Linked DNA regions of Arabidopsis thaliana. The protein of the gene in region 3 interacts with the protein of the main gene of each other region in a pairwise test. Each region holds a gene or a part of one and is shown on either strand. Other genes may lie near its edges.

Region 1 (6,681 bases), about 11 Mb from region 3:
ACAAGCAACTTCACTACTTCTTCCAACCCACAAGTAGGTGGAATCTCCTCCACAGCAGAACGGAAAGGAGGAGCCACACCAAAAGATTTAGCCGTAACAACAGGAAATGGTGAGAAGTCATTCTCAACAAGCCAATAATGCACGAAAACATTCACCAAGAACTCAGCTCTTGTCATCACTGACCCATCATACCCATTTCCGTAATGCAAAAGAGAACTACGATAAGGCTGGTGAGCGTTTAAGTCGAAAACAGGAACAAATGCTTTCAAATAAGAGTAAAGAAGCCTTATGTAGAGATTACACTCCAATTTCTGATCAGAATCACGCTTGTTACTCCCTGGAAAACCTTTGATAAGTGTCCAATTCTCTAGCCTAAACTTGTTTCTCTTTTGGATAGGATTCAGATTCACAGCTGAAATCTCATTGTTTCCTCTACAAACTGGATAATAAGAGAGCCAAAACATGTAATACTCAAAAACATTTAGCCTAACTTCACACAATGAACCACGAACTGAATCCTCCTCAATTTTACCTTTCAAAAAGGGGCACAGATTCGATAACGCAATTCGATCCTTCTCGCTGGAGAGCATGAATCTAGCATACTCCGGTAAACGTTCCGTCGGGAAAACATACTTAACAAGAGCTAATTTATCAACAGCGAAGATTGAGCTCATGAGTATTCCACTAGGGGATAAGAGATTGTATACTCTCTCCGCTAAATCCAAATCGTTGGCCGCCGAGATTACATCGATCCAACCGTTCGGTCGCAGCGAAGAAGACTGTGCCGGAGATGCCGCGGTCGTGTCGCCGAAACCGAAGATCTTACAGATTAAACTCGGAAAAGTAACAGAGAAGAAATGGCGACACTGATCAGGCGTATGCGACTGAAGAAACGATTCGACGGAAGAGCAAGCAGCGGAGATACTCGACGGCGTGGAAGCTGAGAGTATAGCTGAAGCTAGGTCTTGTGATTGCGAAAGCGAATCGACGGTGTAGGAGTGTGGAAGCATCGCTAAATACGAAGGTGAAAACGAAACAAGGGTTTTTATCGAGAGATAGAGCAAAGGTTTACGCCGGAGAAGAAGGGTTTGAAATGCGAGGCGACTCAAATCGCGCCTTGTGAAGGGGAAAAGAAAAACCAAAGAGGGACAAAAGAGAAGAAAAAAAATCAACACGAGGAAGAAAAAGAAAGCGAACGTGCCACGTGGCATCTGTGTAAATCACCGCGATTAATTTTCCATGACAGTGGACTTTTTAACCAAAGAGTGGAGTGAATCGGTGAACGCGGGAACACTCTCGACACTCATCGCCCTAAATTTAACGCTCCTGATTATGACACGTTATTCACTCTTTTAAGGCCCATTTAGACTAATTGTTTAGCCCATTCGTTTTTTTACTTACGAAACGCTTGGGAACTTGTTTACTTTCTCTTACAACACTGGAGTCCGGTTAAATCCGGTTCGTCTTGGTTTAATTTCCGTTTTCAATCCAGTTATAGTTTTTGGTCAGAGGATAAACAAACTGTGATTTTATTTATTCAAAACTAATAAATTCTAATTTTTAGTACAGATTAAACGAAAATTAACGCATCCTAGAGTCAAAATAAAAGCATACAAATATAAAGAAATGTAAGCAAAAAATAATAATTTGTTTTTCTCCCTTTTTTTTTTCTTTTTTCTTTTCCCTAATGATCAAAGCTGAACTAAAACATCCTACCCAAGTTAAACAACCTAACAAAGAAAAACTTATTTAAGTTACTGTGACCAACAACTAACCTGTAAACCCCAAACCAGATCCCATTTTAGACCATCACTTCCTCAGGTCTTTTATAAAGCGTGTATCACGCTTTTGATGTCTGAACTATCAGAGCTAGGATTCGGGTGAAATGCTGATTGTCTTGAAGATGACCCGCCACCTAGCTTCAATGAAAGAGACTGATCGGATTCTCCATGTTTGTTGGACTCTGCAAGGCTGAGCTTAGACATACCAAGAAGCTCGTCAACATTGATAGGAGCTTTCGAGTGCACAGCAGTTGGTCTGAGAATTTCATGAGTTTCCTCTTTCTTGGGTGGTTCAGGAACATAACCAGCAGGCCATATTGGGAATGGAAACGGGTAATATGGTGAAAAGTAGGTCGGATATAGTATGGGGAATGAGCCAGGTAGTTGCGGCTGCGGTTGCAGTTGTGATTGCAGTTGTGTGGTTTCTTCTAGTCTGGAAGAAGAAGAAGCAGCAGCGGCAGTTGCGGTTGGTTCCCCGGTGGTAGAGTTTGTGGAGTCCATTGATTCACATTCTTCGATTTCCAAGATTGACGGTGCGTGAAGTGAGCTAGGAGCAAGTGTCTGATGAATAGAGTCAGCACCTTGCATTTCAGTTTCCACAGGAATATTATCTTCCTCTGGTTCTTGCAAATCCATGGGAATATCTCCAACCTACAAGGACAAATCACACAGCATAAGCAGAATAAAGAAAGAGAATTACATTTCAAGATCACATTCCCATGAGAAGACCAAAATGCTTAAGCAGGATTGGCTACAAAATGATATCCTCAAGCATATCAATTAGAACCCCAACAGACTTCAACTTTTCATATTGAAATGTAGAAGGCAAACCAATCCACCTAATAAGCTTCTGAATCCTTTAAATCAGTATCTCAACACATTTTGTAACCACTCCAATATAAATAAAAATGGTGTTTTTGAATGAAGAAGGAACAAACCTCATCAGGAACCATATCAAAGAGACTAGAACGTCTTTTGCGACGAGAGACATTGGATTGTCTGATGAAATACTTCTGAGCATGGCTAGCAACTTGTGTAGGTGTCCTAGTGGTCACATAGTTTCTTGAGATACCTCTCCAATCACCTTTACCCAGCTTCTGTAAACCTAATAAGAACATCCTGTGTTCTTCCTCTGTCCATGGAGTTCCTACAACAAAACCAATATCAAACACACATCAAAATCTTGTTACATAAACCAGATCACCACTTGTTACATAATGCAATCAACGACTTTGATGCAAAATAAACTCAATTACAAAAATTTGGAATTTGATAAAAAATTTAATCTCAGAAATCAAACGAAGATACCTTTCTTTCTCTCGCGGCTAGAGGAAGAGCCAGCAACGAAATCCTCAGAAGCGTAACCATCACCAGCGACATGGTCAGGGACATCACCCGGAGAACCCGGAGTGTTGGACCCGGTTCCATGCCCACCCGATCCAGAACCCGTGTAATGGCTAAGATTACCCATACTTGCACTTTTCCGGATCGAACCTTCGGTGAGCCGAACACCAAAGAGCTTCACGCCGCGATTGGGACAAGTCCGAGAGTTGTGGCCATTGTGATTGCAGTGAGAACATCGACGAGTCATACCCGACCCGATTTGCTTCTCTTAATCGGATCTGATCGAAGTCTGAAACGCTCGCGGATCGGATCTTAGTTGATCGCAGAAGAAGCACAGAATCTAATTGTGAGAAAGAGATAGAGAGACAAAGGAGCGGAAGAAAGACAATAATATCAGTTTATCTGGTCGGATTTATTACATAAATTCGATTTATCTGGCCGGATTTTTTTTTTTATTTATTTATTTTTTTTATTTTCAGTTTGTTTTTCTTTTGCTCTTAGTATGTTTATTTATATATATAAAAATCGGAAATTATTTGGTGTATCGTTGGTGGATTTTTTTCCTTTTCCATATTTCATATTTGACTTAATTAGTCAATCCAACGTGTTCTATTATTAGAAGATTTATTTTAGAAAAAATGTTGAATTACTTTGAACTAAGAAGTCCAACTAGCTATTACTATTAATTATTAATGGCCATTTTTGTATAAATTTTTTGGAAAAAGATGTATTACAGGCTAATCTCAATATCCAAAGTTTTAAATTTAGGATTAAAAAAAATAACAGCTTTCTCTGTGATTTCTTTTTAACATTATGACATATATCTTAAATAAGTTACTATATATTAATGCCACCACAAATAGTATAGCTGTAACTAATAACTCTTTCTATATAGACTAGTTAATAGGTTTAATGCATTTGTGATTATCCAATTGTCTTATGCTAAATCATTACAATTTCCTTATATTTTTCTATTTATATAAGGATGGATATCTATACAAAAACTGCAAAAAGAAAAATTAAGTATTTATGTACAAGTGTTAACCCTCCACCAGAAATTAACAATTGGCATGAATATTATTAGCCACAAGATTAATTACACTATTCAACATTTTAAAATATCTTAATAGCCCTTCACGCGTTCCATACAGAAAGCTTGACTAGATTTTAACAGTTATAAACACAAATAAGTAAAATATGACATCTGTTTAATAAGTTATCATAAGAAAAATGGTAAACAAATGCCAACATCCTACACATAGAGAAAATCTAATTTTTGGTCATATAGTAAGGCGACAAAACTATTGTTATTTATTTAATAATCTAAACTGAAAATAAAAGTAGACCCATGACTGAGTAAAATATGTTATCTTAAGAAAGATAAACATGATTGTGATTTCATTTCTTGCTAAGATTACAAATACCATAATATTTGTATTAGACACCCCCTAACTCCAAAAGTCATATCTTATAATACTAAGATATATTTTATTTTGTGGTTAATTGTATTATTATTATAGATTTATAGTTCCATAATCATTTGTATGGATTAGAAGAAGAATAAATTAAAAGGCAATGCAGTTTTTGTTTATGAACAGAAAAAAAAAAATGGACGAACATTTTGGATTTTAGATGATAGAAAGAGAGATAATATGAGTGGATGGGTTTAGTGATATAGATTAGGAGGTCCCACGTTTGAAAATGCCACGTGGACACGAGGAGAGCGGCTTATCCAGAAAGGAACCTTTGGTCAGATCTTCTTATATTATTGTGGGATTCCTTCACAAAGCTTTATCAGCCGTCCACGTGTATTTCTCCCGTCGGTGGCATATTCGCATATTATTTCAGATTTCTTGTCATTATTTCATCTTATTATATAACAACAACAACGTTACTCAAATCTTCTTTCACCTAAATTATAAGTTTCTAGCTATTTTTAGCCACATACATAGTGTTTATACCTTTCTCCAACTTTTTATACCAATTTGATTTCATCTTCATTATAATATCCTTTTGCATGCCGTGGAGGATCCCAGTGTTTGTATTTTTAAAAGTTGAGAGACTTTGACAAAAAAATTGAGAGAAACCCCGGGAAAACGTTTTGACTGTGATTGACCCAAGTAAACGTGGACCTTGGGCCAATTTAAATCTCGAGGCCCAAATGCTGTCTGCTTCCAAGAAATTATCGAACATTGAATAAATGATGAGTAATGAATTATTTTTCGGTGGAAACTGAAAGTACAGTGTCTCGTTGAATAAATATGAAAATTTAACGGACTTTTCAAAATTGGGAAAAAACAAGGAAATTTATATCGGAACATTAAATTCTCAATGTACTCGGACCGACATGACAACATTAACTACTGCACTGTCCTACTGTAGCGTGTTCTTAATATTATTTGACCAGAGAAAATTAAGAGTATAACTATTTATGCGAATTTTCCTAACCTAGAAGTGTTGTATTTCTCGAAAAAAGGAGGGAAATGGAACTATGAATTTAAAATGAGACAAAAAAAAAATCGAATTAAATGCAATACAACAACCATAAAGTGAAATGTAATTGAATTTTGGCAGGCACTCTGATACTACTAACCTGGTCCCCTTTCTTATGGGCTAAGCTACAGTTTCAGTTTTCGTCTCTGCATTTACTTCTTCATTCTTTCTTCTCCTTTGCTGCATTTGAATTCACTCCTTTATCAATTTCTTCTTTTACTGAGATTCTTTTGGAGACTTTGATTACTTTCATCATCTGAGTTTAAGGTTTTGGCTGAGATATATGGGTGGTTTTGATTTGAATAAAGACGGTAACAAGCAGAGAAGAAACGGAGATTCTTGGCATTGCCTGGATTCTCATAAACATGGCCGCTCTAAAAGGTACTCTCGCTTCAATAGTTTAAGCTCAATCTTTTCACTAATATTGAATCTTTATCTTAAATCCATTAATGGGTTTTTGAGATTATCTCTCGATGTTTCTTGCACACCAATGTTTGCTTAAACGTCTCTATGATGAAAACGACGTAGATAGAGACTGTTATGCAAAGAAGTCTGTTTTAGAGCTTTTTCTGTTTAGAATGTTTCTTCCTAGAGGCTAGAACGAATTCTTGTTTATGATCTTCCCAGTGCGTCGTCAGAGCGGGATCTTCACACTTCTGGTAATGGAGCTTCACAATCTGCAAACAACTTCACTAGAATGCAAGTAAGACACTTTAAAGCTGTATTTCATATGATTGTTTTTTTCTTTTGAGGTTGATTTGTATTTTTCTGGTCCATAGGCATCCTCTGTTCAAACAACAGCAAACAAGAGACCAAAACCACTGCATAATTGTCAGATGTTAACTAAAAACAATGTGTCTTCTAACGACAGAGCATCCTTGGAACGCGATGTAAGCGCGTCATGTTTCGTATCTCCTCGTCTTTAACATGCATTATCATGTCCAAAAAGTGAATTGATCTCATCTGAATGATCTTTGTGACTTGGCTACACAGGTTGAGCAGCTTCACCTTCGTCTTCAACAGGAGAAATCTATGAGAATGGTGTTAGAGAGAGCAATGGGCC
Region 2 (8,798 bases), on a different chromosome or scaffold from region 3:
GAGATTGAGAGGTAGAAAGCCAAGCTTATAGAGAAAATGAAAAATTGTAATCCCTAAATTTGTTTATCTTAGTTTTATGTGGGGCACTAGTAAATGGGCCTAATTTTCACAATAAGAGTAAACAAACATCTATAACTTGTGTGTGTGTGTGTTTTTTATGTTAACCGGTAAAAAAATGTCATCATTTGACTTGTAAGTAAGGGTGGGCAAAAAAACCGAAAACCGAAAACCCGGACCGTACCCGATCGAAAAAAATAGTTTGGTTTGGTTATAGTTTTAAAAAAAAAAACTATTTGGTTGTATTTTTTTATTATTATTTCGGTTTGGTTTGGTTAAAAACCGTAAAACCAGATTATTTTTAGGTTTTTTAGAGAAATTAAAAATAATTATTGATAAATATTTTTGTCCATTTTATAGTGTGATTAGTTTGATTAATAATAGTTTCATTTTAAAAAAAAAAATTTAGTAGGCTTAGAATTATTAATTTTTTTAGTAATTTAGAAACCAAGAATTTAATTTTAAAAAGATATCTATTATATCTAACTTATTGATTGATATATTATTTTCTTTTATGTTTATTTTTATTTATAAATCATCGAACTTATTTTTTTTTGTAAAAGTATGGAATAACTAAAAAACCGGGACCAAACCAAAAACAAATCGAATCCAAACCGAACTGAGATACATATGGTTTTAATATTTATAAAACCGAACCGGAACCAAACTGAATTACATACTGTTTTTCTGTTTTTCTATGATTATAGTTTTTATAAAACCGAAAAAACCAAACCAAAACCAAATCATAAAACCGTACGCCCACCCCTATGAGTTGTAAGAGTGGTTCGATTTAATATAATCTCCTGTTTACTTTGATTGTAGTTCTCGGTTCAGGTTGGTTAAATTTTTACATTAAACCAATTTCAGTTTAAAACGATTATTATAAAGTTCTGAAATTAAAATAGGTTTGACCTTGGATTATCTTGAGTCTTTTTACCCTGCCATCAATTTTTGGTCAAAGTAAGTTAATATTCATTTAAACCGTTTTTTTTTTCTTTTTGGCAAGGTTTGGTATCTGAATTCAATCAGAATTCTAACAGTTCATACCGAAATCAAAGAATCGAATGGGCCAGGCCAATTTTAAGCAGCCTGCTAAGTGCTGAAACTATAGAAAGATATCTTACACTATTGAACACCACTATTCAAGAAAGAAGACAACAAAGGAAGTGGAGCCAATGCAGTTACACATCTTGCAGCTTTGATAATGTATGATGATCAACTAAGAGAAAAATATATATAGCTCATGCTGCAACTATGAACATTGTCAATACATTTATCTCGTTGGTTGATAGCTTAATATTCTTGACTTATAAATGTTCTTCCATACACTAATTATGAGTATAACTATTAGTCTACTCTAGAAATTGTTGATTCTTACACTAAAACGCAATTTCGTAATTTTGCTGGAAAATTTGATTTCGTAATTTGATGTGCTACAACTTGATTCTTAAAATTGAGCACCAAAGTAGAATGTAATGTTTTATATAAACTCTTTGATTTCTCTAATCTGAGGTTAATGATAAAATTACATAAATTATGACATACAAATTTTGGCATAAATTATTTTAATGAATTTTGTAAAGATTTTTTAATAATATTTTCTCAAATTTGAACGTAAGAAAAAACTACATAGAAATTCTACATCTTTATGCATCAAAAAAAATATGATGTTTTAGATGCAACTGAATCTGCATCCAAATATCGCATTCATACAAAAGTACTAAATTGGACAACGAACAACATCGTCATCTAGTACATTTGCATTTATATGTTGCAATTGCATCATACACAAGTACTACATTGGACAAATGAACAATATCATCTAGTACATTTTCATTTATATGTTGCATCCGGCTATATATGTAACTGATGTCTTAATACATGTGAGGCTAAAACAAAAATACGCTTAATTATCCTTCTCTAGAGTTGGCATCAATAAAGTTAGGGTCTATAGATTAGTATCATGTATTATGACTTGGTGGATGGCTCTTTTGACCTCAGCGATGCTTGCTTTCTTCCCTCTTACTTTCGCCCTTATCTCCGCCTCGAAATCATGGTCGTTCACCGAGGTATGAACTGCCGTAGTCTCTATACCAAGCTCATGAAGAACCTGAAGAATGTCAAGCAACAAACCATCTCGGTACTCACATCTCATCTCTAACAAAACATCATTCTCTATGATGGAAACCTCCACCTCCTCCGATGTTTTTCTCTTACAAGTACGCGTCCGCTTATGCTGTTGCTCATGATGAGTATTCTCAAGCTCATGGACCCTCTTTCGAAGATGATTTACGTACGCAATGGTGTCTCCAAGGATTGAGACTTTATCCATCTTGGTCACAAATGGAACCATTGATCTCAACGTTATGAATTTCTCGTTCAGCTTCTCCCTCCTGCGTCGCTCTGCTACTACGTGGCTCAGATCTTCCCGCGGTAGCCTCTTATCTTTAGTGTTGTCATGGAGGAAAGGAACTCTGAAGATCATTTGTTTGAGCACCCATTGTGACGACGGCGCCGTTTTCACTTGCTGATGCTCTTTGCCATTCTCAACCCTCCACGTGGCAAACGATGATTGGATGTAAGAAGATGTGGAAACTGAATCTGAAAGAAGACTTGTGGGGTGTGACATGAGAAGTGTTGTTACTGTCTGAGAATAGTTTCCACCTTCCTCCATTAGATTCATCATGTCCATATGTGTGTCTACATATATATACAAATGATAATTTCTTAGATATAGCGAAATAAATCCGCAAAATATAAGTAGCTTAGGGTAGATATATATACCTAACGTATGGGTTGATTCAATATGAAGATCAGAGTGTAGATTTTGATTGGAAACATCTTCATCATCAGGAGAGCCAAGCCTCATTTCCTCTGACATTGTCATCTCTTCTTCTACTTCTTCTTCGTCTTCGGCTTCTTCATGCACTTCGTAGGTGGAGTGTTCAGAAAGAGCCGGCTTTGGGTTCGTCTTGCAGTGGTCATAGAAGAAACTCTTTGTGAGCTCAACAAACTCTACATCTTCTCTTACCTACACACACAAATACAACAAATAAATATTGATCCATCACTACAAAAAAAAGGATAGATTACATCAATTAAATAGTATCACAAGTATAAATGGTACAAGTTTAAATTACTTATAAGCAAATGACACAAAATAAATAATTAAACATCAATTATAATAAGTGATGTATAAATTAACATGTTTAGCGTCACTTTAATCAAATTGATAGAAATTTGTATTAGTTTGCATCATTTTAACAAATTGATACAAAAATCTGTATTTACACCAATTAAATAACCGATGTATTCACTTAATTTTATTAACATCAGTTTATAAAAATGATATAAAATTATACATCAATAAGAAGTGATGCTAATAAGTTTTTCTGTATTTTAATTTAAACAAAAAACTAACTTGAATTTATTGTAGATGACGAGAAATTGTTATTACCATAAATAAATAATCATATTGGGTTAATAATTTATTATTAATTCCTATATTTTCCCTCAAAATCAGCTAACTAAATATATTTGTTTCCTTCACTATAAATCCTGCTTTTACGCTCACGATCTTTTTTTACAGTTTTGTATCCAAAAACGTTTTTAGAATATCTTCAAATTAGTTTTTGAAATCTCATAACTCTCATTCAATTCTTCATCTTCAACGACAAGTACTTTCTTATTTTTCTATCATTCTATCTTTCTCTTTTTCTTAACCATTGCTCAGTTTTTTTCTTTTCTTTTATTTTCAGAAATCTGCCATTGATCATTAGGACTGTTTGTTTTCCTACACAGTTTGGAGAAACACAAAGTAAAGGTACTCTATCACTTTCTTTTAAAAATACTTACAAATGGTTATTCTTATTCCGACCAAAACAATTCTGTAAATTTTCAAACAATTACTCTCTTTTTTATTTTGTACAGCAGAAACTCAAGTGTGATGAGGATTCAAGAGATATAAGTTATAACCAAAGTATGATTTTGATTCTGTAAATGGAAGAGAGATGGCATAGAAGAAGAAATGGTATTTTTCAAGAAGAACCAACAGTTAATGGAAGGAAGAAGCATGGAACAGAAGAAAGATGTGTTTAAACACGAAGAAACCAAAACCAAATTATGATTATTTTTTTGCTTATCTTATATAAAGATTTATTGTTCATGTAAAATATTTTATTAAATCTTGATAAAATTTTAGTAGATATTCCAACGAGTAATTATCCACAATGATCTGTTATTTAAAAAAAAAAAAGAAATAAATAAAATAATTATTTGAAATATTAATAACATTGTATTAATAATTATATATATATTAATTAAATCAGTTATTTAAACCGAAACAAATACTAACATCACTTAAATAAATTGATGTAAACATTACATCATTTTTAGTAACTGATACAATATTGATATCAATTATAATAATCGATGTAATTATTTTGATTATTTACATCAGTTACTAATTAACTGATGCAAATTATTTGCATCAACAATATTTAAGTCACTTATTTAAGTGATACAAAATTCTTTTACATCACTTTTAACTAATGCAAATATTTATAATAAATGATGTAAAACAACCTTTTTTTTGTAGTGCATCTCCTTAATTTAACATTACTAAACCTAAAGAAAGATAGGCTATATTCACTTTGTTATTTTGTTTATATATTTCATTAACAAGTAAATAAAAGAGAGAGTATATACAACGTTACCTTTTTCGTTGTGCCTAGTTCCACAACACCATCAAGCATTGGAATGCAAACCACTGTCTGCTTTTTTAAAATACATTTTCATCAGAATACAATTCTCAAATCTTACTAAAAAGAGCAAACTAATAAAGACAAATTTTACCTGAATTTTAGCACTCTAAGTCATTGAGGAACCGACGTAAAAGGCCCATAAAACGACAAGAAGAATTATTCAAGTTAATCAGTGAAAATGTATAAAAGTATAGATAAATAGGTTTACAAGTAGATAGATACATAGTATAGTGTATACATAAATAGGTAAAAATAGATGCATAGTATAGTTGGTGAATGAATAAAAGAATTTACCTTAGCGAGAATAGCTCTAGAAAAAGTTTTACTGTCAACTTCATTTGCACCACTTAGCCATACGTGCTTCCTCCTTGCATACGCTTTTCCTGGCATCCTACAAATTACTACCTCCCAAATTTATATTTGATTTTTTTTTACCACATAGAGAAAAGCATGAAGTATACCCATAACTAACCCATTTTGTTATGCATTTATGTTATATCTATTCATGCTTCTACTTTAGATAATCAATCACCAAACAATGAGAATCTCAACGGTCGCAATAATGTTCATGAAAATGTAGTGTGTGTACGTTTCATTAACTCTCATTTCTTTCTTATTCTAGTAACTCAACTTCCTCAGTTTCTCTTTAATGTCAACACAATATTTTCGATATTCGCATTTAACACACAATACTATTTTTGTCTTCACTTAGAGAAGGAAAAAAAAGAAAGAACAAATTTAGAAACTTGAGTATAGGGAGAGAGTTGTTTACCCAGATGGAGGAGGAAAAGAGAAAGAGACGCACATTAGATAAAACCATTCTGTCTCCGTCAAATCCTCCGGTGACAATGCGGTGCATGCTCTTGCTTCTGACGTTGACTCTCCGGCTAAAAGTGTCTCATAAAGCTCCCTGAGCTGTTGGCTCCTCTCTAACGCCGCCTCTTCTGCCGTCACCTCCGCTGGTTGAGTTGTCTTCCTCGTCTTTATTGCACCGTTGTAGTATCCATTCCCCCACACCAAGACCCTAAACAATGATACTTTCATATAAGTAGTTCAAAAATCTTAATAAATTTTGTAAAACCTTCAAAAAAAAAAAAAATTATTTCAAGATCGAATTGTAACACTACGACAAGCCAACAATTAGCCGAATTCATTTAAACATATAGTTTACATAATATATACGGATATAGATATTATGGTTGTATTGTGAGAGATGAATGAACTATAGAGATAAGAAACTAACCGTTGTTGAGGACAAAATTGCCAGAAGACACTATAAGTCCAGTCCACAGATTGAACCGCCGTCTTAAGCAGCCCTTGAAGCTCTTTTTTCTCAGCTCCGGCCACTTTCTCTGCCGGAATAATACTTGATTCATCCATCGTTCCCGGAGATACGAAAACGTGGTAGCTCTCTCTCTAAAAATCTTATAACTTTGAAGGGTTGTTATTAATATGTGAGAAGAATTTACTCTCATACGCTCATGATGACTTAAAATGGTATGGGACCACTGATTTTTGCAATATGCATGTATACGTATATCATCTTAGTGCTTTTGCAACATGTTGACATAAGTAAAGTATAATGCATGTAATGACTTCTATGTATATATGTATGTATATGAATGCATGACCAAAACTCAAGTGCATTAAAAGTTGACTTTTGATTTTTGAATGGTTGGTTCACCAGACGTTGGATGAGAAAGTGAAATAATGAAAGATCTATGTATCTTGTAGACGTGTCATATACTAATTGGACAAATCAAAATACAGAATGAATATATCTAATAATGCTATATTTATTTATTGTTCAGAAAGCATAACATATTATTGTAGATAAAATAGCTAACTGACAAACAAATGAAAACAAATGTTGCTTTGACTTGTGTTACTGCTACAAGGAGCAAAGAAATTGCGTTTTTCACATTTCTATTATTTATAAAATTGATATTAAAATTATATATTGATTAAAATGTTCATTAACAATTTTAAGAAGTTGGAATTATTGGATGAACATTCATATATATTTTCTTTAAAATGAAAAGATAAACTTAACCAAAGATGGGGAATGGTAGAATTGTTGACCTGACCGGTAAGTAAAGAATGAGAAATGGTTTGGTGTAATAAAGGAGAAGAATGAGATGTTTCACATTTGAGTTATTAAATTATTGATGTTAATTGCTAGCCAAGTAGCAGCCACTAGCCACTATAAGTTTCCCATTTAATAATGTCTTATAAAATATAAATGTAGATAGATACTGTTACGTACACATATCGTAGTACATACGATTTTGGGTATGGTTAAGGGTAATGTATGTACACCTGGTTACTTAGACAAAATCAACATTGAATGTTTCTTGGCTTTTTTGTCGACAAAATAAATGTTGCTTGGCTTTTGCTTCTGCTTCTGTGTTTCTTATTACATGTTGTTTCTTCTGAGTTTAGTCGTTCACCAATTATGTAACTCTGACGACGGGCCACGTGGAGTGGTTTCTTCTTATTGATTTTGCTTCTCCTTGTGTGCATCTTTGTGTTTATAAATAAAGGTGTTATGTAACTCATTTCTCATTGGAAATGATTCAAATAACAGAAAATAAACAATACTGTTCTAACACAGAAATGAGCGATTGGTTATTCACAATCACAAGGACAATGCTTTAGTACATAAACGAGAGGTTGGTTAGGCACAAATGTTAACTAAAACCCAAGTTCTTCCATTCCAGAAATGACAAATCATTCCTATTTATAATGCTTTGTTTTCAATGAAAATGACATTAGCCAAAAGTGTTTTGGCAAGAATTAGTTGTTGGAATACAATATATCTTTACAACGCACAACTGCATGAGCTTTGAAGGACCCCGGCCGGTTTATGATGAGAGTGAACTATTTGAAAAGTGGACCACATAATTGTAGAAAAATAATGGGTAATATAGTGTGATGCAAATTGGTGTGAAGTTTTTTGAGTTATTTTTTCTTTCTTTTTCTGAAATGTAATCATTCGTGTGAATGAGAGATTTCTTGTATTTTGTTCAATATATTAAGACCCGGTCCAAACCGGTCAGTTGGACCGTAATCCCATGATCCCGTTGGGGATCCATGGCTAAAATCGCCATGTATTGAACCCTGAAAAGTTCATCATTAACTTGTGATCTGACCGAATAACGATTTAAAAATCACTTACATCAATCTAGAGGATTTGATTTTATAACCTTTTACCACAGTTAGAGGAATTAGTTTGACATTTTCGGATAACAAATAGTATGGTTTTCTTTTTCCTAACCCTTTTTTGCTACCCAAAACCTAAGCTTTATAATCTTTCATAACATGCGTAAGATAGTAAAAATATCAAGCGGTAATGACTAATGAAAAGACAAAAGTCTAGTGTCTAGTGGTATATTTTAAATTCTATCAATAAAATTTTGTAATTTTTCTTTTAGTCGTGTGTATTGTAACATTGACTAAACTATGTGATTTATGATTCTTCAGATCTTGAGGAAGAAATTACATTATCTACAAAAAAAGGGTGTAAGTGATGGAGATAGACAAAATTTATTGCTGTGATGCTTTATTAGCTCATCTAATATGAAATTGACGATTTACTATTCTTTTAGTGTTTGGTTTTTGGTTTAATTAGTTTCTTTGAATGTAGCAAGTTAAGACTTATCTCACCAAATATATATATATATATATATATATATATATATATATATATTTTTTTTTTTTGTTAAATCTCACCAAATATTTATAAACTCAAATCTCTTGTGGAGGAAAATCTTTCATTCTGCTTGGCAATGATGCAAAATATCTGGCACCATGAGTCCATGATCCTAAGGTGGATATAATGGTATGATTTGTCCTTTGGAAATGAAGTGTTACTAGATCATAACCCGTGCTATACAGCACGAGCATTAATATTTTGTATAAATTAAATTGTATACTTTGTTTCAATTACATAAGAAATAGTATAGTATAAAAGCGATG
Region 3 (6,765 bases):
TATAATCAAATAATATTTATTTCATATGGTATACCAAAATTAAGTATTCAATTGCTACGTGGATATTAATAATTTGAATTCGGTAACATACTCTTTTTCTTTTTGTTAAACCAAAGAATCTCAAACAAAAGTTTTTGATCATAGTTACTAAATCATTTTTGGTGAATAACCGAGAGAATGTCTCCCGACTTCTATTAAAAAACAAAAATAACAATTACACAATCACTCGTCTTGAACAAACAGGTCTAGAAACATCATCCCGTAAGATTTCATCCGCACACCGGAGAACATAAACAAGAGCATAAAAGCTTAAAGACAAGCATAGTTTGTTAACATGTCCGTAAAATGATTAGCCTCTCTATATGTGAAACACGGTCAATCTAGTTTTTCGATAAAAAACTATAGCGCAAACGTACTGGAAATGATAGCAGATGAGAGTCCCATAACCTTGTCTTCAAAATCTCAACCACCATTTACCACAAATATGGGGATGAAAACAGGCAAACGGTCTCATACGTTGTAAATAAGCATTCTTAATGTCAAGTTGGTAGATAGGCCATAAAATAAGCATCCTTATGTTTAGCGCATAGCCTCCACACCATTCACCCTCCTCATTACGTATCAGACCACCACCAGCCGCGAGTCTCGAATTGCCATAAAATACCCCATCAGTATTTAATTTAAACCAGCCCATAGACGAGATAAGCCATTTTATCAGCTTCTCAACCCGACCAGCCCTTTGTGTTGCCTTTCCGCTACTAGCTCTCGCCTCCAATACCTCCTTAGCTAACTCTCTTATGAACCGCACCCTATTCTTCCATACTTTATTCTCCCCAAAAACTAGCTAATTGAATTACCAACATTTGATCAAGATAATATACTAGGTAGCTAATTAATGAGCTCATTTTTTTTTGTCGTCAATGGGCTAATTTATTAATTACAGTATGAACTATTGACTATTATTCTAAATAAGTGAATATCACGAGTATGTACGAATTATTGGATGTATCTATTTGTATTGATTGATGTAATATCAAATAGTATGAATTTGGAGTAAACGTGGGTTTGGGGTTGAAGCAGGTAGGGCATGTCAAAGTAGGGCGTCTTTCGTTATGTCCCTTTCCTCTAAATTTGAACCTCTGTCATTGTACAGAAAAATCGTAATAACCCATAAATGTGTTTTAAAAAACATTATTTCGAGTTTTCTACACATATTCTAGTCATGTTTAATTTGAATCTTTTCTTATTTAAGTAAGCTTTAGACATTTTTAACCTAAGTTTTCTTCTCCCTTCATAAATTTTGAGATCTATATAATGTTCTTACATTTTGGATCAAGATCTTCATATTCTCATTCCAATTAGTAAAAGATTTTTTCACCTTTTAATCTCTTATCTTTTATTTATATTCTTTAGTTATGTTTATGCTTTTCATCATATTTAGTGGTTAGTTTTTATTATTTATTTATTGATTCATGACTTATGCTAGATTATGATAAGAATTTATGTTACCACTTGATAAATCCTCCATTTGACATGTGTTTAATGCTAGATTTATATTGTCTCCAAATTTACAACTTCGATGTCTTATGATAAATGCCAACAACCAAATTTCAGATAAAGATTAGCAGACTAACTAAGCTTATTATTCACTTGCAAGGTGGAGTGATGTTGAAAGAACCCTCACAGACACGTCATTGGGAAGACTAAATCTCTTTTTAGCACGTTACACCTTTGAGATCGCGTTTATTCCATATGGAGAGAGAGCAACAATACGAGACATGGAGAGGCACCATTACCGCCGGCGCAACTGCTTCCAAATATTGACAAACAAATTTGAATCTGGATCTTCTCTATTCGTGAACAAGGAGATAGAAGCTACGATGAATGCATGGAAGCTTGGTTTGCTTTAATATAAACACTAAAGGGGAGTAGAACTTTCTTGAAAAATTGTATGCAAATTATTTACCGAATGTTAAAAGCTTTTTTCGAATAAATTTTACATTTTCTTAATAATAATAATAAAAAAGGATTGTTGATTATCTTAATCACAAACAATTTATTTTAGCTGAATTAGACAATTGTTAGTAAAATGATTAGAGTGTCACATATTAATGTTGTTAGTGTTTCATGTCATCCTAGTGATCCAATAATTAGGCCATTCTATAGCTCTTAACGTTAAAATAAAAGGCCCATTATCTGAATATACAGAAGCCCATTATCAATAGATACATTAAAAGATACTGATTAATCCAGAGGGTTTATATCTACGCCGTCTCCATTGATTATTTCTCCGTCTCTTGAAAAATCCGACTGACACTGACCTCAAAACTCTCCTCTCACTTTCGTCGTGAAGAAGCCAAATCTCGAATCGAATCAGCACCACACATTTCCATGGATAATTCAGCTCCAGATTCGTTATCCAGATCGGAAACCGCCGTCACATACGACTCACCATATCCACTCTACGCCATGGCTTTCTCTTCTCTCCGCTCATCCTCCGGTCACAGAATCGCCGTCGGAAGCTTCCTCGAAGATTACAACAACCGCATCGACATTCTCTCTTTCGATTCCGATTCAATGACCGTTAAGCCTCTCCCGAATCTCTCCTTCGAGCATCCTTATCCTCCAACAAAGCTAATGTTCAGTCCTCCTTCTCTCCGTCGTCCTTCCTCCGGAGATCTCCTCGCTTCCTCCGGCGATTTCCTCCGTCTTTGGGAAATTAACGAAGATTCATCAACCGTCGAGCCAATCTCGGTTCTCAACAACAGCAAAACGAGCGAGTTTTGTGCGCCGTTGACTTCCTTCGATTGGAACGATGTAGAGCCGAAACGTCTCGGAACTTGTAGTATTGATACGACGTGTACGATTTGGGATATTGAGAAGTCTGTTGTTGAGACTCAGCTTATAGCTCATGATAAAGAGGTTCATGACATTGCTTGGGGAGAAGCTAGGGTTTTCGCATCAGTCTCTGCTGATGGATCCGTTAGGATCTTTGATTTACGTGATAAGGAACATTCTACAATCATTTACGAGAGTCCTCAGCCTGATACGCCTTTGTTAAGACTTGCTTGGAACAAACAAGATCTTAGATATATGGCTACGATTTTGATGGATTCTAATAAGGTTGTGATTCTCGATATTCGTTCGCCGACTATGCCTGTTGCTGAGCTTGAAAGACATCAGGCTAGTGTGAATGCTATAGCTTGGGCGCCTCAGAGCTGTAAACATATTTGTTCTGGTGGTGATGATACACAGGCTCTTATTTGGGAGCTTCCTACTGTTGCTGGACCCAATGGGATTGATCCGATGTCGGTTTATTCGGCTGGTTCGGAGATTAATCAGTTGCAGTGGTCTTCTTCGCAGCCTGATTGGATTGGTATTGCTTTTGCTAACAAAATGCAGCTCCTTAGAGTTTGAGGTGAGAGTTTCTGTTTCGCTACATAATTCTCATTTGCTAGGCCTAGATTCTAATGAGGAAGCATTGATTATTGGTTTAGATTGTGTTGCATTACAGATAGTCTTCTAGGTTTGGTAACTAAACGTTTTTTCGATTCTTGATAACAAAGCCACTAGAGATTTGACACTAACTCGTTTTAGATTTACCTGAATCAATATCTCTGTTAAAATCAATTACTTTGTTATGCATACATAAATCACAGTTTAGTAGTCATATATATTGGCTCTTATTAGCGACAGGTCTCACACTTGCTGTAATGGCTGATAGTGTAGTAGTCATATGTTGGCTTTCATCTAAGTTGATGTATCATATGATGAATAGTTGTACACTCGTCAGGTTCTAATTTTTACCCATAATTCTTCAGTCTATTTTTTTTTGAGACAATCTATTCTTAATTTAACGAAGCCACTAGCTACGTATACAAATATTGTTAATTTAACGAAGTATCTGAGAATTGTTTACTGCTGACTGTGCTGTATGCCCTCAGAAACATATAGAAGTGGAATTGGAAACTTCATGCTGGTTTGAACATCTTTGTATGTGTGCTTCAGGTTTTTGTAACTCATTTAGACAACAGCATTGCATATATACACGCACATATGCAACCTAGAAAATCAAATAACCTTTCCTTATAATTACTATACATTTCACTTGATGTCAGGTGCAGATGTGAAGTGATCAATAAGGATTTTAGCATAGACCCGTATAATCGTCATGTGCGTAAGTAGGTTTGGTTTGCGCTCCCTCTCGCTTTTAGGTCCGCAATGACTCTGTATCTATCTGATTGTAACTAAAACTGAATTCATTTGATGAACCAAATGATACTATTATCTTATGTTGTGTATAAAACCCAACCAGGATATATTGCGGTTTCTGGTGTTTAGATTTGGTAATTGGAGCTTAGTACAATGCAACCCTGTCTTGCTTTATTGGACGTCTCTAAGATAAATCAGCTTGCAATGAATTCCAATGGAGTTTGTCAGTTTGAATTAACTTCTTTGCATAATTAACACAAAGATTTGCAGTATAAATTCCATTGGAAGACTTATTTGTTTATTTGACACAGATTTAAATTGAATTTCAATGGAGTTTCAGTCGACTATGTGACACAAAGATTTGAAATGAACTCCAATGGGAATTTGGTGAGTAAATTATTATAAACAATCCAATGTTTGACACAAATATTTTAGAATCTTCACATCTGAAGTCTTATAAATCGTAGCAAAATTTTCAATCTTGAAAATTATAAAAAATGAGAATTAATTTAAATCACTGATCCGATAATCTCCTCTAGAAATATAAGAATCTATAAACCATTAATAGTAGAATTCCAAAATGTTATAAATCTATATACTATAAATGAAAATTTTACTTTTTAACTTTTGTCTCCATAATATCATACCATACTTAAAATTTTATTTATTTTATTCTAATAATCACAATGTGTTTCTTTGTATATAAATAGAGTTTTTCTAATGGTTTGAGAAGTGATTTGGAAAACATGGATACTCATATTTTTTTCAATTTATAAGATGATCAAAATAGAAAATTTAGCTTATGAAATCTTTTAGATTTAGGAACAAATGTATACTCTAAAATGTAACTATTTGACATGTGTCAAAATGTTTTTAAATTTGTTGTGATCTTGTTACAATTAAGATCAAGCTACTTGTCAGATTTTATGTGATGGGTTAAATTTTACAAAATTCTAGCCCAAATATAAAATACCTACGTCCTCAAAACTTAAAATGCAAGCGATAATAATACAACTTAGAGTACAAAGAGGTTAAAGGTAGATAGAATGTCGACCAGTGAGCTCGCCTGCACTTATGCTGCTCTCATCCTCCACGATGATGGAATCGAGATCACCGTTAGTTTTCTTCTCTTCTCTCTTTCTTCAAATTTGTTTTCTAGCTATTGAGACACTGTTTAGCCTATGTTTTAGTCTCTAGAATCGTCATCTCTCTTTTCTTGCCTTGTGGTTTCAAACTGATCTCACTTAAGTGTTGTAATAATGTAAAATTATTAGGCTGAGAACATATCAAAACTGGTGAAAACAGCCAACGTGAATGTCGAGTCATACTGGCCTAGCCTCTTTGCTAAGCTATGTGAGAAGAAGAACATCGACGATCTCATCATGAATGTAGGAGCCGGTGGTTGTGGTGTGGCTCGTCCAGTTACCACTGCTGCTCCTACCGCTTCTCAATCAGTCTCTATTCCCGAGGAGAAGAAGAATGAGATGGTATTTATTATCACATTATTAATTACAACAAACTACTAAATCAAATACTAAATGGTATAATTGTTTTATAATCTTAGGAGGTGATCAAAGAAGAGAGTGAAGATGACATGATAATCGGATTATTTGACTAGAAGAGCTTCTTTTTCTTTGCTTCCAAATTTTATGAATTTTGCCTCATATGAATATTTTGATTATTTACAATTTATTTGATTGTTTATGAGAGACAACAAAAATAAATCAAATCTATTATTGGCTATTGTTTAATAAATATATACAACAACAAAAATATGGGGGAATTTCTTTTTCAATGTTTTTTTTTTTTTTGTCATCCGAAAATTAATTAGGACTCAAACGAGCCAATCCTGAGGAATGTTGTTTACAAATATAATATGAAGCGGTTGGGTACGAACTTTTCGTGCCAAAAAATCCGCTTTAACATTAGTACTACGAGAGATTAAAGATAGAGAAAAATCCGCTTTTCAATGTTTTTTGGTTTTAGTATTTTTGGATTTATAAAAACAAAACCATATGAAGACGTATTTATTGTTACCAAAAAAAAAAATGATAATAAGAAGACGACGCGTAGTTGAACTCAGGATTTTCATTTGTAGTTTTCCTGTAATCCAAACGGCGCACTGTTTTTAAATTCACAGCAGAGAGAAAAAAAACAAAACAAAGACGAGCCAAGATTTGTATCTTCGTCGTCTCCGATGCTAAGCTCCATCATCGACGACAAACCTGCCTCCTCCACTTGGCTCAACCGCCTCCGATTAAACAGAGGCCTCACAACCGACGATGACGATGCTTCTGGCAATCCACTTACTCTCGACGACTTTCTCCGCCGCAACCACCACACGGAAATCGCCGCCACTAGTTCCGCTTCCGATTCACCTCCATCTGCTCCAATTCCTTCAGATCCAGAATTAGCTGAAAGTCCATCGGAGGAGCCAGTTCCTGGAGAATGGTACGGCGTGATGAGCGATGTTCTCTTCGAGCTATTCAATTTCAGCGGCTCCTCTAAATCTTCCACAATTCCCGGGAAGAAGAAGTTACCAAGGAAACAATC
Region 4 (8,620 bases), 8.2 Mb from region 3:
TTCAGTCTAATTTCACTCTGTTCTTACAGATTGCACCTTTCTTTCAAAGATTTTTCATACAGCTGCAAGAATAAAAAAACACAACATGGATAACTATAAACAACACAAGTCTGTTGTAGATCGAAATGGATTACGGATCAGCACATCATCAACTTTGTAAAAAGATGGGAGTGTTCTTCTAAACAATGGAATATTAGGCGAGGAGATAACAAATATAAACCAATATTAATTGGAAAACTGTTTAAAGCATATCCATAAATACAAGATTAAGGATTCATCTCTGTAACACAGGTAAATAGAGAATGCATCTAGTAAAACCCGAGTAGTATTGCGATTATCTCGACTTAATTCAAAAGAGAAACTATTGTAAACTACATTTTCGAGAACTAAGAAGTACACACATAGTTAAGAAAAATATCCGAGATATATATAAAAACATGTAAATGCAAGTTCTTACCGGAGAGAAGAATTTTCAGGCCATCTTCACCATTCTCGATCTCTCCCTTGAGTCTTGTCTGATCGCACACTTTGTGTGTAAAATCGACATGTATCTTTGAATTTATGTTTTCGGTTTTGCTGTTAAAAAGGAAAGGAGTTATGTTTTTGTCTGAAAAAATATTTTCCATATGAGGTATATTTTATTCAAAGAAAAATATTTTTAGTCATTAATTTTGGTTCTACCTTCTAAATAACAATATTTTAGCTTTCCAATTTGGATCTTTTTCTTGATAATCAAGTTTACCCATTTTTCTATATTTTATATTTTTACACAAATTAGAAAGTAAATTAGAATTCACCTTAGAATTTAAAGGAATAAGATTCATGTTTTTATACTATTGTTTAAGATTTTTTTGTCAACACAAAGATTTTAAATGATAAGATAAGAGTACTCTGGTTTTCCATTAATATATGAAGATTATTTTCAGTTTGGGTTTGAAATATCCTTGATATTAAACGAAAAGAATAACATGAGTTGGTAAGTAAAACATAATAAGACATGACTAGATAGGTAAAATTACATAAAGCAAATTAGAAAGTAATTTGGTCAACACCTCTAAATTTGTAAAAATAAGATATTACAGCATTTATTTTTGTTGATTTTCACTATGTTATTTCAATGAAATCATTTATGACCCAGTTAAGGAAATTAATCTGGATTTCTTATCATAAACTTTACCTCTTTGTTATCCATGAAAATGCCAAAATGCAGAATCTTCTCCCGTTTCGTGTGAAGCTTTTTGACCACTAATTTTCATTTACACATTAATGTTTTTTTCCCCGTAATTTCACATCAACCTTGTGCTTAAACAACAAAAGAACACAAAATCATCTAAACTGGCTATTACTATTACTAATACCCTTAAAATAATCTACCTCAAACAAAATACGCATAGTGTATGTTCCTCTTCACCTACGTTAAGCAACGGAAAAAAAGACACAAAAAAAAAACAAAAAACAAATGATAAACATAACATTAATTCCTAAAACCCGGTTAGAAGAAAACCAAAGAATAGAAACCAAACCGGGAATGTTTTTTCTTTGCTGTCAATTTTAACTAAGTAGTCTTCAACAGATCCATGCAACCCTTTGAAGTGCTTCTTTGATCATTCCTGGTGTCGCTATTTTTGACCCCTTGTGCTGAAACCAACACATTTCATGTCAATCTAGGTTAACCAAATCCTGGTTAAGCCAAAAGTAGGTTAGAGAGTATACCTTGCAATTGACGGTTAAGCAGAGCAAACCGTCTCCGGTCGAGGATTGAACCGAATGAGAATCCAAATGGAGATCACTAATCACATCCATTATCTCAAGCAATACTCCTTCTCTCCAAGCACATCTAAGCTCAATAACCACCTCATTACCAAACGAACCGATCCTTAAATTATCGGTTAAACCAGTAAAACCGGTATCTGCTGGCTCGGCTTCACCAACATTGTTAACCGACACCTTCTTCCCATTTCCTGTTTCATTATTTGCGCAATTAGCTGATGTTCTTTCTCCTGCGTCGCATGGTTTCTTCCTCTTCATCGTCATCGTCCCACGAGTCTCTGTATCGGTTGATTCTCTGCAAGATTCTAGTTCTTGAACCCGTCTCTCGAGTTCTTGAAGATACTCTATCGTATCGTCAAGAATCGATACTTTATCGATCTATCGAAAATGTTAAACATAAGATTAGTTACCTCGCGATATATATGGATTTGAAATTTTGAAGAATCGATTATATAAATATACCTTGTTGATTGACGGAATGATTTTTCTCAAGGTCATGAACCGTTCGTTCAATTTCTCGCGGCGCTTCTTCTCTAAAACCGCATGGTTCCCAGTTTCATCTCTGGCTTCTGGTGAGTCCAACATTAACTTCTCTTTCTGGTGCACTCGCGGAACATCGAAAATAATTTTCTTTAACATTCCTTGTGATGGTGCCGTGACCGTGGCGGTTCCTGATGATGATGACGATGATTTCTTCCACCTAGTGAAGCTTGACTGTTTATCGCAGTTTCGAAACTGCGGTCCGAGAATTAACTGATGGTTGGTCTTAAAAATCGTTGAGATCACACTTTGGTAATGAACGTCGTCGTTTCTTGGATCAAATGACAATGTCTTCACATTTCTCTGTTGCTCTTGAATTTGCCCTAGTCTTTGAACTCTACTCTTTCTTGCACCGTAAGCAACCCGTCCAGCCGCCCCTTCAACAAACGTTTGAGAGACGCAATCGCTGGAATTTAGCGACTGGTGAACGCAGTTACTAAGCTCGTCGTCCATGAGCTGCCAGCTTTGCACCTGAGAAGCTCCTCCAGTGATTCTTTCGGTCATGAAAGAATCATGATCATCTGCTACTTGTTCATGTTCTTGATCGAAACCGTTGGTAGTTCTGCTCGGAGAAGCTGTTGGAAAAGGCTCCGTACTGAACATAGGCGCGTAAATCTCGTCGCCTAGAATCTGTTGCGGATCAAGAACGTTGTCGATGTGATAATCGGATCTTGCTGGTAATATTGTAGCGTACGGATCAGGGGCTTCGAGGAATGATGTCTTCACGCATTGTATTACATTCATGTCTTCCGTAATCTACGAGACGAAACACACCAAGAAAAAGCCTTGAAAAAGTTTTCAATTATAACTATACCAACGAGCTAGTAAAAAGTACAAAAGCCGTATTTTCGCGTTTTGTCATAACCAAACCGTGGAAATCTTTAAAAATCGAGACTACTAAAATATTAGTTTGTGTGTTCTTGGTGTCTATACCGTTATTCGACAGATTGAAGGGTCAAATTGAAATGTTAGAATACATTGTGGTAATTTTATAATTATTCTTTTTTTCTTAATAAAGGATTTTCATAATAATTATTCTAAAACATTGGAAGCAGAAAACACAAATATTGGCTTACATGTTCTGTGGTACCAATCTCAACGACTCCTCCAAGGAACGGGAAGCAAACCACTGTCTTAACCGCAGCACTCTAAACCACCACAAAACGCAAACAAAAACGAACGATTTTAGTGTTTTCAAATCGCAAAAAAGTGTTACATAGCAACTACATCAATACTACAACTTACTTTTGCTAGAAGAGAACGGCTAAACACTTTACTATCCGCCGTATGAGCGTTGCACAACCATATCGGTTCACCGTTTGCAAACGTCCGTCCAGGCATTCTGCAAAAAGACAGGTTCATTTAGAAAGCAGCAATGCATTCTAAGCTTAATTTTTCCACATTTTTTCTTCCTAACATATTCATAATTATTGAAAGTTAATTAGCCGTGTTCATAAAGACCAAAATGAAACGAATTTTTTAATTAATCCGGACAGAAACAAACTTTTGTGATGATAAATAAACCGAACTAAACTCGAATCGAACACAAATATACTGCAACCAAACCGAATTAATAAAATTTATTAGATGTAGAATAGAGTTAAACATACTAATGCATATATATACACATTATTATTTAAAATTAATTATGTTTTAACTTTTTCTTTTGTAATCTGAAACCGACCAAATCCGGACATTAAATTTTGAAACCAAACTGAAACTAAAAAATTGGTTCTAGCTCATACTTTTTTCCTGCAGAACCCTGAAATCTAACAAACCTAAACTGAACCATAAAAGTCGAAATCCTTGGACCTACTAGTATTAAAAGTATATTTTGGCACGTTGTTTAAAACTGGCAAAGATCAACACGATCATGACACATAATAAATGTCAATGCTGATAGAGGAAAAGACGGAATTACCCTTCACCAATGTTGAAGACGAAAGACATACAAACCAAATAGTACCACTCGGTGTCGGCGAGATCTTCCGGTGAAAGTGCGGCGGCGGAAGCTCGTCTGGTGACTTGAGATCCGGCAGCAACGCCTGAAGAAGAAGATTCAGCGACGGAGAGAGACTCGTAAAGCTCGCTAAGCTGCTCGCTCCTCCGTAGACCAAGCTGATCAGCTTTGATCTCCGAAGCTTGAATCGTCTTCCTCGTTTTGATATCTCCATTATAGTATCCATCTCCCCATTCTAAAACTCTTTTTATATATAGAAAAACAAAAACAAATATCAAATCGAATAAAGAAAACAAACAAAACATTTTCTTGAACTAATCAAGAACTTCAAGAAGAAGAGAAAAAAAATTGAACTTTTAAAGAAGATCAAGAAACCTTATATGAGTTTATAAGAAAAAATCAATGGAATCAAGAAAAACCTAGAGAACCTTGTCTTGAGTTGTAGAACTAAACACTAGTTTTGATTTGAAGTGAACACATAAGTTTTATCTAATTTTCCAATTAAAATCAAGAAATTTACTTCATCAATATCTTTCAAAATCTCCAATATCTAGTGTTCAATGAATATGATTTAAGAAACTTACCCAGACTGAGAAGCAGAGACAGACCAAAAGATACCATAACTCCATTGAATGTTTCGAACTGAAACTGCGAGGTGTTTCTTCAGATTCTCTGGCACAGTTGTTCTGTTTTGTCCGGTAGCCATTGTTTCTTCATCCCTATATCCCATGAAACCACACACAGGGAAAAAGAAAAGAAAAGAAAAAAATCAAACTTTTTGTCCTGATTTAGAAAGAAATAAGATACTATGTTAAATTTATAGCCTAAAAAAGAAAGAAAAAGGGAAACTTGTAACTCTTTACATTTTTTTTGAAGTATCAGAGAGGATACAAACTAGATGTTAAGGTTTTTGTGTTTGTCATTTGATGAAACAGTTGCCGTTTTCGCCGGAACAAACAGAGAAATGTTTGAGAGTTTTTTTTTTCTTTGGTCACTCCATACTTTTTTTTTATTAATGTTGTTTTGAATATTAATTTTGTTGTTGTTTGAGCTTGAACTCGAAAGACTAGAAGAACTGTCTACGAATCCTTTTTTTCTTTGAATATGACGATATCATCTTTGTTGTGTACAGAACAAAACACAAGACATTTATGACGAAAATAAAAAGTACTTATAATTTTTTAATGATTTATGAGAAAAAAAAAGGATACAAAAGTAGAGGAAAAAAGCAAAACGCTGATGTTGATTGATTGTTCCTCTTTTTATCTTGAAGTTGATTGATTAGTTCCTCATTTGGGAAGAACAACCTTTTTTTAAGACAATGAACTACAATGTCCATTGTTGTGGTCTTGTCTTCAATAAATTCTCTATTCAGTCTCTTTGTGGTTCTAGAGATCTCTTTTTTTTGGGAATATTGAATCATTGTGTGTCTCTTCCAACACTGATTTTAAAGTTAAAATGTTATCACGTCAAGGCTGAACTTTTCACCCATCTATTCTTGAAAAAAAATGTTTCCCTCACTTAATATCCCCACTGATACCAAAAAAAAAAAATTTGTTTCCTTGACTATTAGATCTTTGAAGCAATGTTGACTAGAATACCATTAGCATGTGATCCAAGTCCAATCTAACCAGCATCGTATGATTTCTTTCATTTTGTATAATCTAATCAGTCTTATTACTATTTGAGTGATCGAAATATATTATTGTCGGTGAGTAACATCGTTTTATGAATTTTCCAAAAGTACACAAAACGACCAAAAGTATAATGTCTCAAATCAGAGTATATGATTAACATATATAATAATAGTAAAATCATCAGCTTTTTACTTGGTGTCAAAACGAAGCTAATCGCTATGAATCTAAATTATAGTCACAAACACAATAATAGATAAATTGAGGAGGAAAGAGATAATATAAGAACAGTCTTTACTAAAATTGGGAAACACAAAGAAAGACACGAAATTAATGTTTGGCCTCGAGGAGTTCCCCCAATACGTACAGACACAATCTTAATTTTTGCAATCACATCTTTAAAATGAATAAAAATGTTATGGACATTTTCGACGTTGATTCTCCCTATAGTCATATACTTACAATATTATTATATTTCAAAATTCTCTTATACTATTAAACCTATATTTTCGAAGTATTTATGCAACTATTTAAAATATAACTTTAAATAAAACCCTGCTAAATGGACCATTAGTACTTATTATTTTCCTTTTCTGACATCTAGAAAAGAGAGAGACGTTGACGTCAGAAAACATTAAAATATATATACACGTTCGGTCCCCTACAAGATCAAAGTCTAAACATTCGTAGTGCTGTTGATCGGAGGTTTCGGTAAATTAATCGGATGTGTTGATGTTTGAGGGTAATATTTAGGAAATTTGGTATAGCTTTCGATACAACAATATAAAATTTGTCTGATCCAAACTTATGTAACACTAATATATATTGTTATTTTCAATCAGAATACTAACTCAAGTTAAATGGGGAATTCAACTCCTAATCCGATGAAGCCTTGCTGGTTTGGATCAAGACGTCATCTTCACTTCAACAACTCCATCTCCTGACTCCTATCTTTCGCTATGGTTTGCTAATTTCCAACAAAATTAGACCACATCTTTACTGATCTTACTAGAACACTCGTCTCTATATGTTTATCTTATTTGATTGTATCTGAGCATTAAGGCTCCTCTGTAAGACCTCTTTCATATATATAAACGGAACTAATTAAAAAAAGAAGTAATATATATATATATATAGGGTATATACTATGTTGTTATTTTCTTGACATAGACGGCACAGAAGAAATAATGTTGTAAACACGGCCATTAAAATCATAAACTTTTGGGCATGTACGAGAAGATGTGAGAGATTCAATGCTATGTATAGGACAATGGAAGCATGACACTATTTTGCTATTAACTGGTTTGTATCCTCTCTTCTATGTTAAAAAACTGTATGTTTTCCCATATACTAAATGACATATGGATATAGCTGAGAAAATAATATTTTAATTTGGATATACTATATTGGTTTAACAATGAAACATAAGTGGTTCCACTTTCCACCTCATAAGGCATATTATCATCATCTTATATGTATCTCAATTCTCAAGGTTCAGAAAAAGGTAAGATAGTTCATCTAAGTCAATGGAAGTCAAACTATGTAAATAATGGGCTTTTGATTTGCTTCTTGTTTATGATTTGATTCAAAGATCATGGTGGATCTTAGGAGGTAGAGAATCACATGAATTTGGATGGGAATTCAAAAAATTATACTTAATTTGGCTTAATGAAACAATTAATAAAGAAGAGACCAAGAGTCAATATTGTCACTGGCGACGTTAATTAAGCCATCAACTATATAATTTTGTCATTTCCCAAAATTGTCGTTATTACTTGTTGCGTCTCCATGAGAATCATAATGAACATTAGACCTCGTTTATTTAATTATATCATTAAGCCCGTATCCTCTTTTGTTTTATCCTGCTTTTTATAGCATTATTTTACTTAGACTCTACTAATATTAAAGTAAAATTTAGCTACCTATTTGTATCTACCATTGTGAAGTTATTTAAATACTACACTATAAATTTGTACAATCTTCGTTTAAGTTTCCTCAATCTCTATATTTTTCTTTTCTCTTAGCAATCAATAAAATAATATTTTTAAAAACAAAATATTTTATAAATTAATATTCGATAAATTAATAATTACTATAAATATTTATAGTCTTAAATTAGATTAGTGTACAAAATTGATGCAATTAATTCGATAAAACATTAATATATTATTTTAGTTTAGTTATATATAGACATATAATTCCATTATTTTGATAAATTAATACTTATATAAATTTATCATATATATATATATATATATATTACATACAAGAAAATTTAGTGGAATATGATATATATATATATATATATATATATATTTATTTCATTTTTTGAATCTGCATTGATTTTTGTTAGAGTTTGTTCCTAATATTTTTACTGCATCGAAAAGTTTTGGTATTGTCTTCTTATTTGTAATTAGTTCTAGAAGAATGTTACTAACTAAAAAATCTAATTTTTAAATAGAAACTTTTTAGTTCTAATATTAATTTATAGATATTTTACTATACAATAACAATTTGTAGCATATAACAACTAGGAAAAAATGATCAGCTCCATTTTAAGAAAATAACAATTTGCAACTGTAATATTATTTTTTTATTAATTATATTATTGCAGATAAAACCTTGTGAATAATGGTTAAAAGTGATTTTGATTGCGAACAAAACAATTCAATATTTCAAAAAGCAAACAAAGTAGCTGTTAATTGAAGAATTTAAA

What was found.
Region 1: the proteins of TTG1 (region 3) and AT5G47390 interact in binary tests that used the Arabidopsis thaliana proteins (3 or more experiments, as listed by UniProt).
Region 2: the proteins of TTG1 (region 3) and TT8 interact in binary tests that used the Arabidopsis thaliana proteins (3 or more experiments, as listed by UniProt).
Region 4: the proteins of TTG1 (region 3) and GL3 interact in binary tests that used the Arabidopsis thaliana proteins (3 or more experiments, as listed by UniProt).

Annotation. Positions count from the first base shown.
Region 1 is NC_003076.8:19,223,692-19,230,372, reverse strand, and holds AT5G47390 (myb-like transcription factor family protein), read right to left. Parts: upstream 3,605-6,681; 5' UTR 3,373-3,604; coding exon 3,090-3,372; intron 2,929-3,089; coding exon 2,720-2,928; intron 2,433-2,719; coding exon 1,827-2,432; 3' UTR 1,478-1,826; downstream 1-1,477. Other genes in the region: AT5G47400 (sphingomyelin phosphodiesterase), read right to left, coding at 1-1,211; AT5G47380 (electron transporter, putative (Protein of unknown function, DUF547)), read left to right, coding at 5,902-5,999, 6,246-6,321, 6,398-6,508, 6,612-6,681. UniProt on the Arabidopsis thaliana protein: Transcriptional repressor. Direct regulator of the transcription of peroxidase (Prxs) and reactive oxygen species (ROS)-related genes via the recognition of 5'-ATCACA-3' motif.
Region 2 is NC_003075.7:6,179,469-6,188,266, reverse strand, and holds TT8 (basic helix-loop-helix (bHLH) DNA-binding superfamily protein), read right to left. Parts: upstream 6,387-8,798; 5' UTR 6,201-6,386; coding exon 6,064-6,200; intron 5,845-6,063; coding exon 5,593-5,844; intron 5,212-5,592; coding exon 5,115-5,211; intron 4,927-5,114; coding exon 4,912-4,926; intron 4,830-4,911; coding exon 4,773-4,829; intron 3,089-4,772; coding exon 2,842-3,088; intron 2,758-2,841; coding exon 2,006-2,757; 3' UTR 1,744-2,005; downstream 1-1,743. UniProt on the Arabidopsis thaliana protein: Transcription activator, when associated with MYB75/PAP1 or MYB90/PAP2. Involved in the control of flavonoid pigmentation. Plays a key role in regulating leucoanthocyanidin reductase (BANYULS) and dihydroflavonol-4-reductase (DFR).
Region 3 is NC_003076.8:8,368,360-8,375,124, reverse strand, and holds TTG1 (Transducin/WD40 repeat-like superfamily protein), read left to right. Parts: upstream 1-2,277; 5' UTR 2,278-2,391; coding exon 2,392-3,417; 3' UTR 3,418-3,418; intron 3,419-3,944; exon of another isoform or gene 3,945-3,993; intron 3,994-4,118; 3' UTR 4,119-4,808; downstream 4,809-6,765. Other genes in the region: AT5G24510 (60S acidic ribosomal protein family), read left to right, coding at 5,259-5,327, 5,487-5,699, 5,777-5,830; AT5G24500 (fantom protein), read left to right, coding at 6,410-6,765.
Region 4 is NC_003076.8:16,525,813-16,534,432, reverse strand, and holds GL3 (basic helix-loop-helix (bHLH) DNA-binding superfamily protein), read right to left. Parts: upstream 5,344-8,620; 5' UTR 5,136-5,343; coding exon of another isoform or gene 5,134-5,135; 5' UTR 5,001-5,133; coding exon 4,855-5,000; intron 4,514-4,854; coding exon 4,232-4,513; intron 3,653-4,231; coding exon 3,556-3,652; intron 3,459-3,555; coding exon 3,387-3,458; intron 3,067-3,386; coding exon 2,233-3,066; intron 2,149-2,232; coding exon 1,714-2,148; intron 1,639-1,713; coding exon 1,567-1,638; 3' UTR 1,146-1,566; downstream 1-1,145. UniProt on the Arabidopsis thaliana protein: Transcription activator, when associated with MYB75/PAP1, MYB90/PAP2 or TT2. Involved in epidermal cell fate specification.